Linked DNA regions of Arabidopsis thaliana. The protein of the gene in region 1 interacts with the protein of each later gene in a pairwise test. Each region holds a gene or a part of one and is shown on either strand. Other genes may lie near its edges.

Region 1 (3,951 bases):
CAAATATTTGGAGGCTGATTACGTTAACTAGTCCCCGTGTTCCTCGAATGGATCTCTTAGTTGTTGAGAGGGTTGCCCAAAGGCAGTATATAGAGCATACCCAGTAAAACTTACAAGTAACCCAGATATAAAGATGGCGACTAGGGTTGCTGTTTCCATTATTATAGAATTGAAAGACCACACCGGATCTATGCTAAGATCATTTATTTACAACGGAATGGTATACAAAGTCAACAGATCGTAATGAATACAAAATAAGATTTATGGCTACACAAACTGTTGAAGATAGTTCTAGATCTGGTCCAAGAAGCACTACTGTAGGGAAGTTATTGAAACCATTGAATTCCGAATATGGTAAAGTAGCTCCCGGATGGGGAACGACCCCTTTGATGGGTGTTGCAATGGCTCTATTTGCGGTATTCCTATCTATTATTTTGGAGATTTATAATTCTTCTGTTCTACTGGATGGAATTTCAGTGAATTAGACTGAGAAGAATCTTGAAGTTCTAGCTTTTAGCTCGATACAAAAAAGTAAAGTATGCAGGTCTAACAATTTTAGCCTATTCTCCTTTGGTAGTTCGACCGCGAAATTTTTTTCTGCATTGTATATTTCCGGAATATGAGTGTGTGACTTGTTAGAATTGACCCTATGGATAGTACAGAGAATGGGGTCTGTCATCTTTATCAAGATGGTTTTACTTCGTCGGATATTCATTCGAGTATCTGGAGCACGAAATAGATCAAATAGATCACAAAGTATTCGAACTATGATTCATACTTAAATACTCAAACCTCGTAGCCGGACTTCTTTCCGTTCTATCTTATAAACTTTAATAAATCAAAAAAATTTTCTGCTTTTAAACTCTTATTTGGATCAAAGGACAAACGCTTCTTTGTATTTTATGTTTTTAGTCATTATAGCTTTTTTTTTATTGAATAAGTGATGATCCAATGGTTCTCACTCAGTGAACTTTGGACTTTGAAGGTTTCATTAAATTATCGTGGTTCTCGTATGAATCTGAGGTTTCAATTGATTAGTTAAGTAGGGTCTTAACAAGAGAATTCCTATCAATAATAAAGAAAACAAGAAGAAATCCCTGTCCCCGTTCCATACAAATACCAAATAAAAAAAGACAATAAAGATAGGTAATCTAGAAGATTCAAGAGGCCTGTAACGATCAACACAACATAAAGACGAATGAGCTTACTTGATTTTTTGGCATTTAACCACAAAGACGAGCTTTCGCATTTTGACTCTTTCATATCTTTAAATAATAAAAAATAATATTGAATGAGAGACAAGTTTAAAACTTTATATTCCATATCTGTTTCAATCAGTATTTGGGTCTTTTTTTGTTTGAGCTGTACGAGATGAAATTCTCATATACAGTTCTTGGAGGGGGAGTAACCTTGGTTTACCTATCTCAATAAAGTTTATGATTGGTTCGAAGAACGTCTTGAGATTCAGGCGATTGCAGATGATATAACTAGTAAATATGTTCCTCCGCATGTCAACATATTTTATTGTCTAGGCGGAATTACCCTTACTTGTTTTTTAGTACAAGTAGCTACGGGATTTGCTATGACTTTTTATTACCGTCCAACCGTTACTGAAGCTTTTGCTTCTGTTCAATATATAATGACTGAAGCTAACTTTGGTTGGTTAATCCGATCAGTTCATCGATGGTCGGCAAGTATGATGGTCCTAATGATGATCCTGCACGTATTTCGTGTATACCTCACCGGTGGTTTTAAAAAACCTCGCGAATTAACTTGGGTTACTGGTGTGGTTCTGGGTGTATTGACCGCATCTTTTGGTGTAACAGGTTATTCTTTACCTTGGGATCAAATTGGTTATTGGGCGGTCAAAATTGTAACAGGTGTACCTGACGCTATTCCGGTAATAGGATCACCTCTTGTAGAATTATTACGCGGAAGTGCTAGTGTTGGACAATCCACTTTGACTCGTTTTTATAGTTTACACACTTTTGTATTACCTCTTCTTACGGCCGTCTTTATGTTAATGCATTTCCTAATGATACGTAAGCAAGGTATTTCTGGTCCCTTATAAATAATATAGATTCTAGGTATTTGTACTTACTTATTACTTGGTGAAGGAACGATAGTATTTTATTGCTATAAATATGGATTATTAAAAAAATAAAACATGTATTTGGATATTTCCCTTCAACTCCACAATATTTTATTATTTTTTTGACATAAAAAGTTGAAGGGAATTCTATGAAGAGATAATGGATTATGGGAGTGTGTGACTTGAACTATTGATCGGGCCGTGCAGAAATATTACTTTATCTGCTACATTGGAATTCACAACCAAATGTGTCTTTGTTCCAACCACTGTGTAAGCCCCATACAGGGGATAGGCTGGTTCACTTGAAGAGAATCTTTTCTATGATCGTACCCGACGCTGTCGTGGATGAGTGGGCTCCGTAAAATCCAGTAGATTAAGGGATGGAACAAAATCCTGATTATGTTTTTAGTTATTTTGGACTAAAAAAAAAAAAGAAAATAATTATTAATAGTAATAGTATGTAAATGCATTCATTTTCTCTGCATCGACTCGATTTATGATACTATCGGAGTGAATACAGGATCTAATGAAGAGTAGAGGGTAGACTCCATTAGTAACAAGTAAATCCTTTGTATTTGAAAAATCTCGATATAATTGTTGAGATTAAGGACGAATTTATAAGGTATGAGACGACCCAGAAAGCACTTAATCATGATAAACTTTTTAAGCTTACGTGGGTGTTGAGCATTTACCTGTAAGAATGGAATTTCTTGAATCTTTAGTTGCAATAACTTTGGAATCGGATAATTAATTTTTACATATTAAATTATATTTTTTGTATGTATTCATTTAGTTTGGTTAATTCTTGCTCGAGCCGGATGATAAAAAATTATCATGTCCGGTTCCCTCGGGGGATGGATCCATAAGAATTCACCTATCCCAATAACAAAAAAACCAGATTTGAATGATCCTGTATTACGAGCTAAATTAGCTAAAGGTATGGGTCACAATTATTACGGGGAACCCGCATGGCCCAACGACCTTTTATATATTTTTCCAGTAGTTATTCTTGGTACCATTGCCTGTAACGTAGGCTTAGCGGTTTTAGAACCATCAATGATTGGTGAACCTGCGGATCCTTTTGCAACTCCTTTGGAAATATTACCTGAATGGTATTTCTTTCCTGTATTTCAAATACTTCGTACAGTGCCTAACAAATTATTGGGTGTTCTTTTAATGGTTTCAGTACCAGCGGGATTATTAACCGTACCCTTTTTGGAAAATGTTAATAAGTTTCAAAATCCATTTCGTCGTCCAGTAGCGACAACCGTCTTTTTGATTGGCACCGCGGCGGCCCTGTGGTTAGGTATTGGAGCAACATTACCGATTGATAAATCTCTAACTTTAGGTCTTTTTTAATTCAATTTATTCAATTGTAAAATAAACGACGTGGGTATCTAGGGAGGTATCTAGGGAGTAGTCATTTCCAAATGAATTCTCCCTAGATACATATCTAATTCTAATTAATTTAATTAATTAATTAAAATGGGTTCGACTGGAAAATAGAAATTACGTTGAAATTTGAAAATCCATTTCAATTTCAAATTGACTTTTTAGTCTTAGTCAATTTTTTTTGAAATGTTTTTTCTATTTTTTTTCTAGAATGTCTAATATCTTTTTTACATCTTCTACGTGAAAATGTTCAATTTTGATAAGGTCTTCTTGACTGTTATTCAAAAGGTCCAATAATGTATGTATATTGGATTTTTTGAGACAATTGTAGATTCTGGGAGGCAATTCTAATTGGTCAATAAAAATATATTGAAAGGCTAGTTCTTTTGTTTTTTTTTTTTTTCTTAGGTTAACTAATCGATTATGAAAAGGAAAAAAGGGTAAAGTAACTTGATGTTGATTGTTCT
Region 2 (3,838 bases), on another chromosome or scaffold:
TTACGAGATTACGATTTTATAACTCTTTTAACCAAAGCTAATCACTTCACCCTCTGTTTTGTTTCTCCCCAATCAAAAATCTCAATCCCAATCACTTCGCTTCTAATCTTAAAGCCTTTAATTTAGTCTTCGAGCCCTCTAATGGCGGATCAGAGCAAAAACACTCCAGAGATCTTCGAGCTCAACAATGGCACCATGCAGGTCAAGATCTCAAACTACGGCACCACCATCACCTCTTTGTCTGTTCCCGACAAGAACGGTTTGTTCTCTTCTTCCTCCTTTCAATGATGATCTCTGTTTTGTCTCCAAATCCTAATCCTCTGATTATCGTCTTTGTTTTTCTTATTTGAAGGGAAACTGGGGGATGTAGTTCTCGGATTCGACTCGGTGGATCCATATGTGGTAATTTCTCTCGAATTCACCTAATCCTTGAACTGATCTCGACATAGATTCAATCAATCTGATCGAAACTCTAATCACTGCCTCTGGATCTCATGAATAGAGTCTGAATCATAATTTAAGAAATGTATATGGTCATTCATGTACCTTGTTGAATGACTTTGTGATGAACTATCAAAATAAGATGGACTTTGTAACAATGTTAATGAATATGTGTGTTTTATCTATGAATATGATTGTTACAGAAAGGGCTTGCACCATACTTTGGGTGCATTGTTGGTCGTGTGGCAAATCGGATCAAGGAGGGAAAATTCAGTCTCAATGGAGTTAACTACACTTTGCCTATCAACAAGCCTCCTAATAGTCTCCACGGTCTGTATAAACAATTCTCTTCTCTGTATACTTTCTCTATAACTTTCTGTGAACTAAATAGGATTTGGACCGTAAAATGTTACTCTATCTGTACAGGTGGTAACAAGGGTTTCGATAAGAAGATATGGGAAGTTGCAGGGCACAAGAGAGACGGCGAAAAACCTTTCATCACTTTCAAATATCACAGTGCCGATGGAGAAGAAGGTAATGACATATCCTTTCTCTAGCATTTGATTTCTGTGGGATTAGATTAGCTATATAATGTTTTGCGGTTCCCCTCCACAGGTTACCCTGGTGCGGTTTCTGTCACGGCGACATACACTCTCACGTCAGCCACGACAATGAGACTTGACATGGAAGCTGTTCCAGAGAACAAAGATACTCCCATCAACTTAGCTCAACATACATACTGGAACTTAGCAGGTCATGACTCAGGAAACATTCTAGACCATAAGATTCAGATATGGGGGTCTCATATCACGCCGGTTGACGAATACACAGTTCCTACAGGAGAGATCTTGCCTGTAAAGGGAACTCCTTTCGATTTCACTGAGGAGAAGCGGATAGGCGAGTCTATTGGAGAGGTTGGTATCGGATACGATCATAACTACGTGTTGGACTGTCCTGATCAAGAGAAGGAGGGGCTGAAACACGCAGCGAAGCTCAGTGATGCTGCTAGCTCAAGGGTACTGAACTTGTGGACCAATGTGCCGGGAATGCAGTTTTATACCGGGAACTATGTGAATGGAGTGGTTGGGAAAGGGAATGCGGTTTACGGGAAACATGCGGGTGTGTGCCTTGAGACGCAGGGATTCCCGAACGCGATTAACCAGTCGAATTTCCCGTCTGTTGTGGTTAAGGCTGGTGAGAAGTACAATCACACGATGCTGTTTGAGTTTTCAGCTTGAGTTTATAGATGGACGTTTTAGGTGTTAGATGATGGGAATAAAGGGCCGGTTCATTTGATTCACTGGGCTGGAAAAAGAGTGATTTTAATTTTATCTCTTTGGGGGAGAATAATAAAACCAAACTGTTTACATTATATTAAAGTTACTTTATTTTTTCATATCTTCTAAACATTTGGCCCATTTGTGAAATTGTGAATTGTGCAGCGAATGAATCTCCCATTGTTCACATGAACTTGGAAAAAAAGAGCAATTAGTGTATTTGAGTAATTCTGATGGCAATTATGTCTACACGCATGTCTTTTGGGCGGTGAGAAACACGCGCCACTAAAGAAGCAAAAGCCTATGGGCCCCAAAAAATATCAACCATCCATCTCTGTAATCTCTTCGTCCTCCCTTAAATTTTTGTTTCATTATTTTTTTCACTAGTAACCACGGCTTGTGTTGTGGCTTAAACACAGAAATGGCTTCTTTACCGTTCGGAGTTTCGAATCTATGCAGAAATCAGGAGGTTCTGTCTGCGTCTGTAAGGCTTCTTCCGGTTGGGCGACAAACCACAGGTTCTGTTCTCCCCCAATAATCGTTTTCGATAAAACTTAAGGATTTCAAGCTGAAGCGATTGTAAAACTCTCCTGTGTTTGTTGTGATGATGCAGGATTCGGAGCTGCGAAGAAAGTCTTATATAGATTCGAGGGACATAGATTGTCATCATCAGTAGAAAAGGGAGAGAAACAGAGAATGAGATGTAGAGTTAGCTCAAACTCTACTGAAACTGAAGACGATTCTGCTACAAAAACCAAGGTCTGCACTCCATCTCTTTGAATTTACATCATAATCTATCGTCGTAGTAGTCCTGAAGCAAACTCTGTTGTGAAATAATTTGGTTATAGACGACGCCGTTTGGTTACACGAGGAAGGATGTTATATTGATAGGAGTGGGAGTGACTGCACTTGGTATCGGGCTAGAGAGTGGACTTGAGGTAATTCTCATTATCTACATACTGATGATATCAAATGAATCTGTTATCTTTTTCTTTGTTCTTCTGAGTACTCATTTTGTGATAATGATATGGTGCAGTATGTGGGAGTTGATCCGTTGCAAGCGGGGAATGCAGTACAGCTGATACTGGTGCTTGGTTTGACTTTGGGTTGGATTTCGACTTATATCTTTAGAGTCGGTAACAAGGAGATGACTTATGCCCAGCAACTTCGTGACTACGAGTCTCAAGTCATGCAGGTTTCTGCTTTTTCGTTAATCTCTTTATCAGGGTTTATCTACTTTACCTAACATAAGTTTGGTTTGGTTGGTTGGTAATGAGCAGAAACGATTGGAGAGCTTATCGGAGGCAGAGTTAGAGGCATTGATGGCACAGGTTGATGAAGAGAAGACCAAGGTTGAGTAGGTTCCTCCATTGTGTTACTGTTACATCACCTGCAAAAGTTTGTAAAACGAAGAATAGCACAGGCTTTCAAAGTAAAAATCTAGATATTAATCTGATTTTCTTTCTTCTTCCTTGCTGTTTGTTGTATGAACGATACACACTAAAAATATACAAATCGAAGAATATTTTGGACACACCACAGGACCCTCAAGGGCTTTATACAAGATGAATCAAAACTCACGAACAAATTGAATCAAATGAATTTGAAGTTATGAACAAATGTCAAGTTCTAAATATTTACGGCTCATCTCTCACCCAAATGCCTTACGAACAATGGGAATTCTGTCGAATCTGGGTGAAGTCCATTTACTAGAGCCACAAATTTGGGTACACACTCAGGGCTGAGTAACTTGAGCTTCCATGTTACTGAATTCACTGTCCTCTTTTGGCTGCTTTGAAATGTGGAATCCTTCTGCTTGACCTTCAGTGACAAGCACGAGCTTCCTCTTGATTCAACAACCTGGATAACACCCCAATTTGCACATAAAAAACTGACATAAGCGAGAGAAAGGGAAAGAATAAACAAACTTGTTACCATCTCAAATATGTCGGAGATGGAGCAGCTTGAGTCAAGTGAGAAATATGGGGATGAAGAAGCATCATCTGTTGGCAGAAAACTCAGTTGCCTGAAGTCTTCATTGCATATGAAAAGATGTCCACCCGCCACAAAGAGTGACCGTGGAAGCCATGACACTTCTGTTCAGTTTAACACAAAAAAAT

The links.
Region 2: the proteins of petD (region 1) and DAC interact in a two-hybrid assay, tested with the Arabidopsis thaliana proteins (one study listed by BioGRID).

What each region holds. Positions count from the first base shown.
Region 1 is NC_000932.1:74,222-78,172, forward strand, and holds petD (cytochrome b6/f complex subunit IV), read left to right. Parts: upstream 1-2,259; coding exon 2,260-2,267; intron 2,268-2,976; coding exon 2,977-3,451; downstream 3,452-3,951. Other genes in the region: psbN (photosystem II protein N), read right to left, coding at 28-159; psbH (photosystem II protein H), read left to right, coding at 264-485; petB (cytochrome b6), read left to right, coding at 620-625, 1,430-2,071; rpoA (RNA polymerase alpha subunit), read right to left, coding at 3,680-3,951. UniProt on the Arabidopsis thaliana protein: Component of the cytochrome b6-f complex, which mediates electron transfer between photosystem II (PSII) and photosystem I (PSI), cyclic electron flow around PSI, and state transitions.
Region 2 is NC_003074.8:6,141,548-6,145,385, reverse strand, and holds DAC (uncharacterized protein), read left to right. Parts: upstream 1-2,075; 5' UTR 2,076-2,139; coding exon 2,140-2,236; intron 2,237-2,331; coding exon 2,332-2,477; intron 2,478-2,566; coding exon 2,567-2,656; intron 2,657-2,754; coding exon 2,755-2,913; intron 2,914-2,998; coding exon 2,999-3,079; 3' UTR 3,080-3,261; downstream 3,262-3,838. Other genes in the region: AT3G17940 (Galactose mutarotase-like superfamily protein), read left to right, coding at 142-259, 353-402, 645-771, 868-975, 1,057-1,679; AT3G17920 (Outer arm dynein light chain 1 protein), read right to left, coding at 3,363-3,578, 3,654-3,814.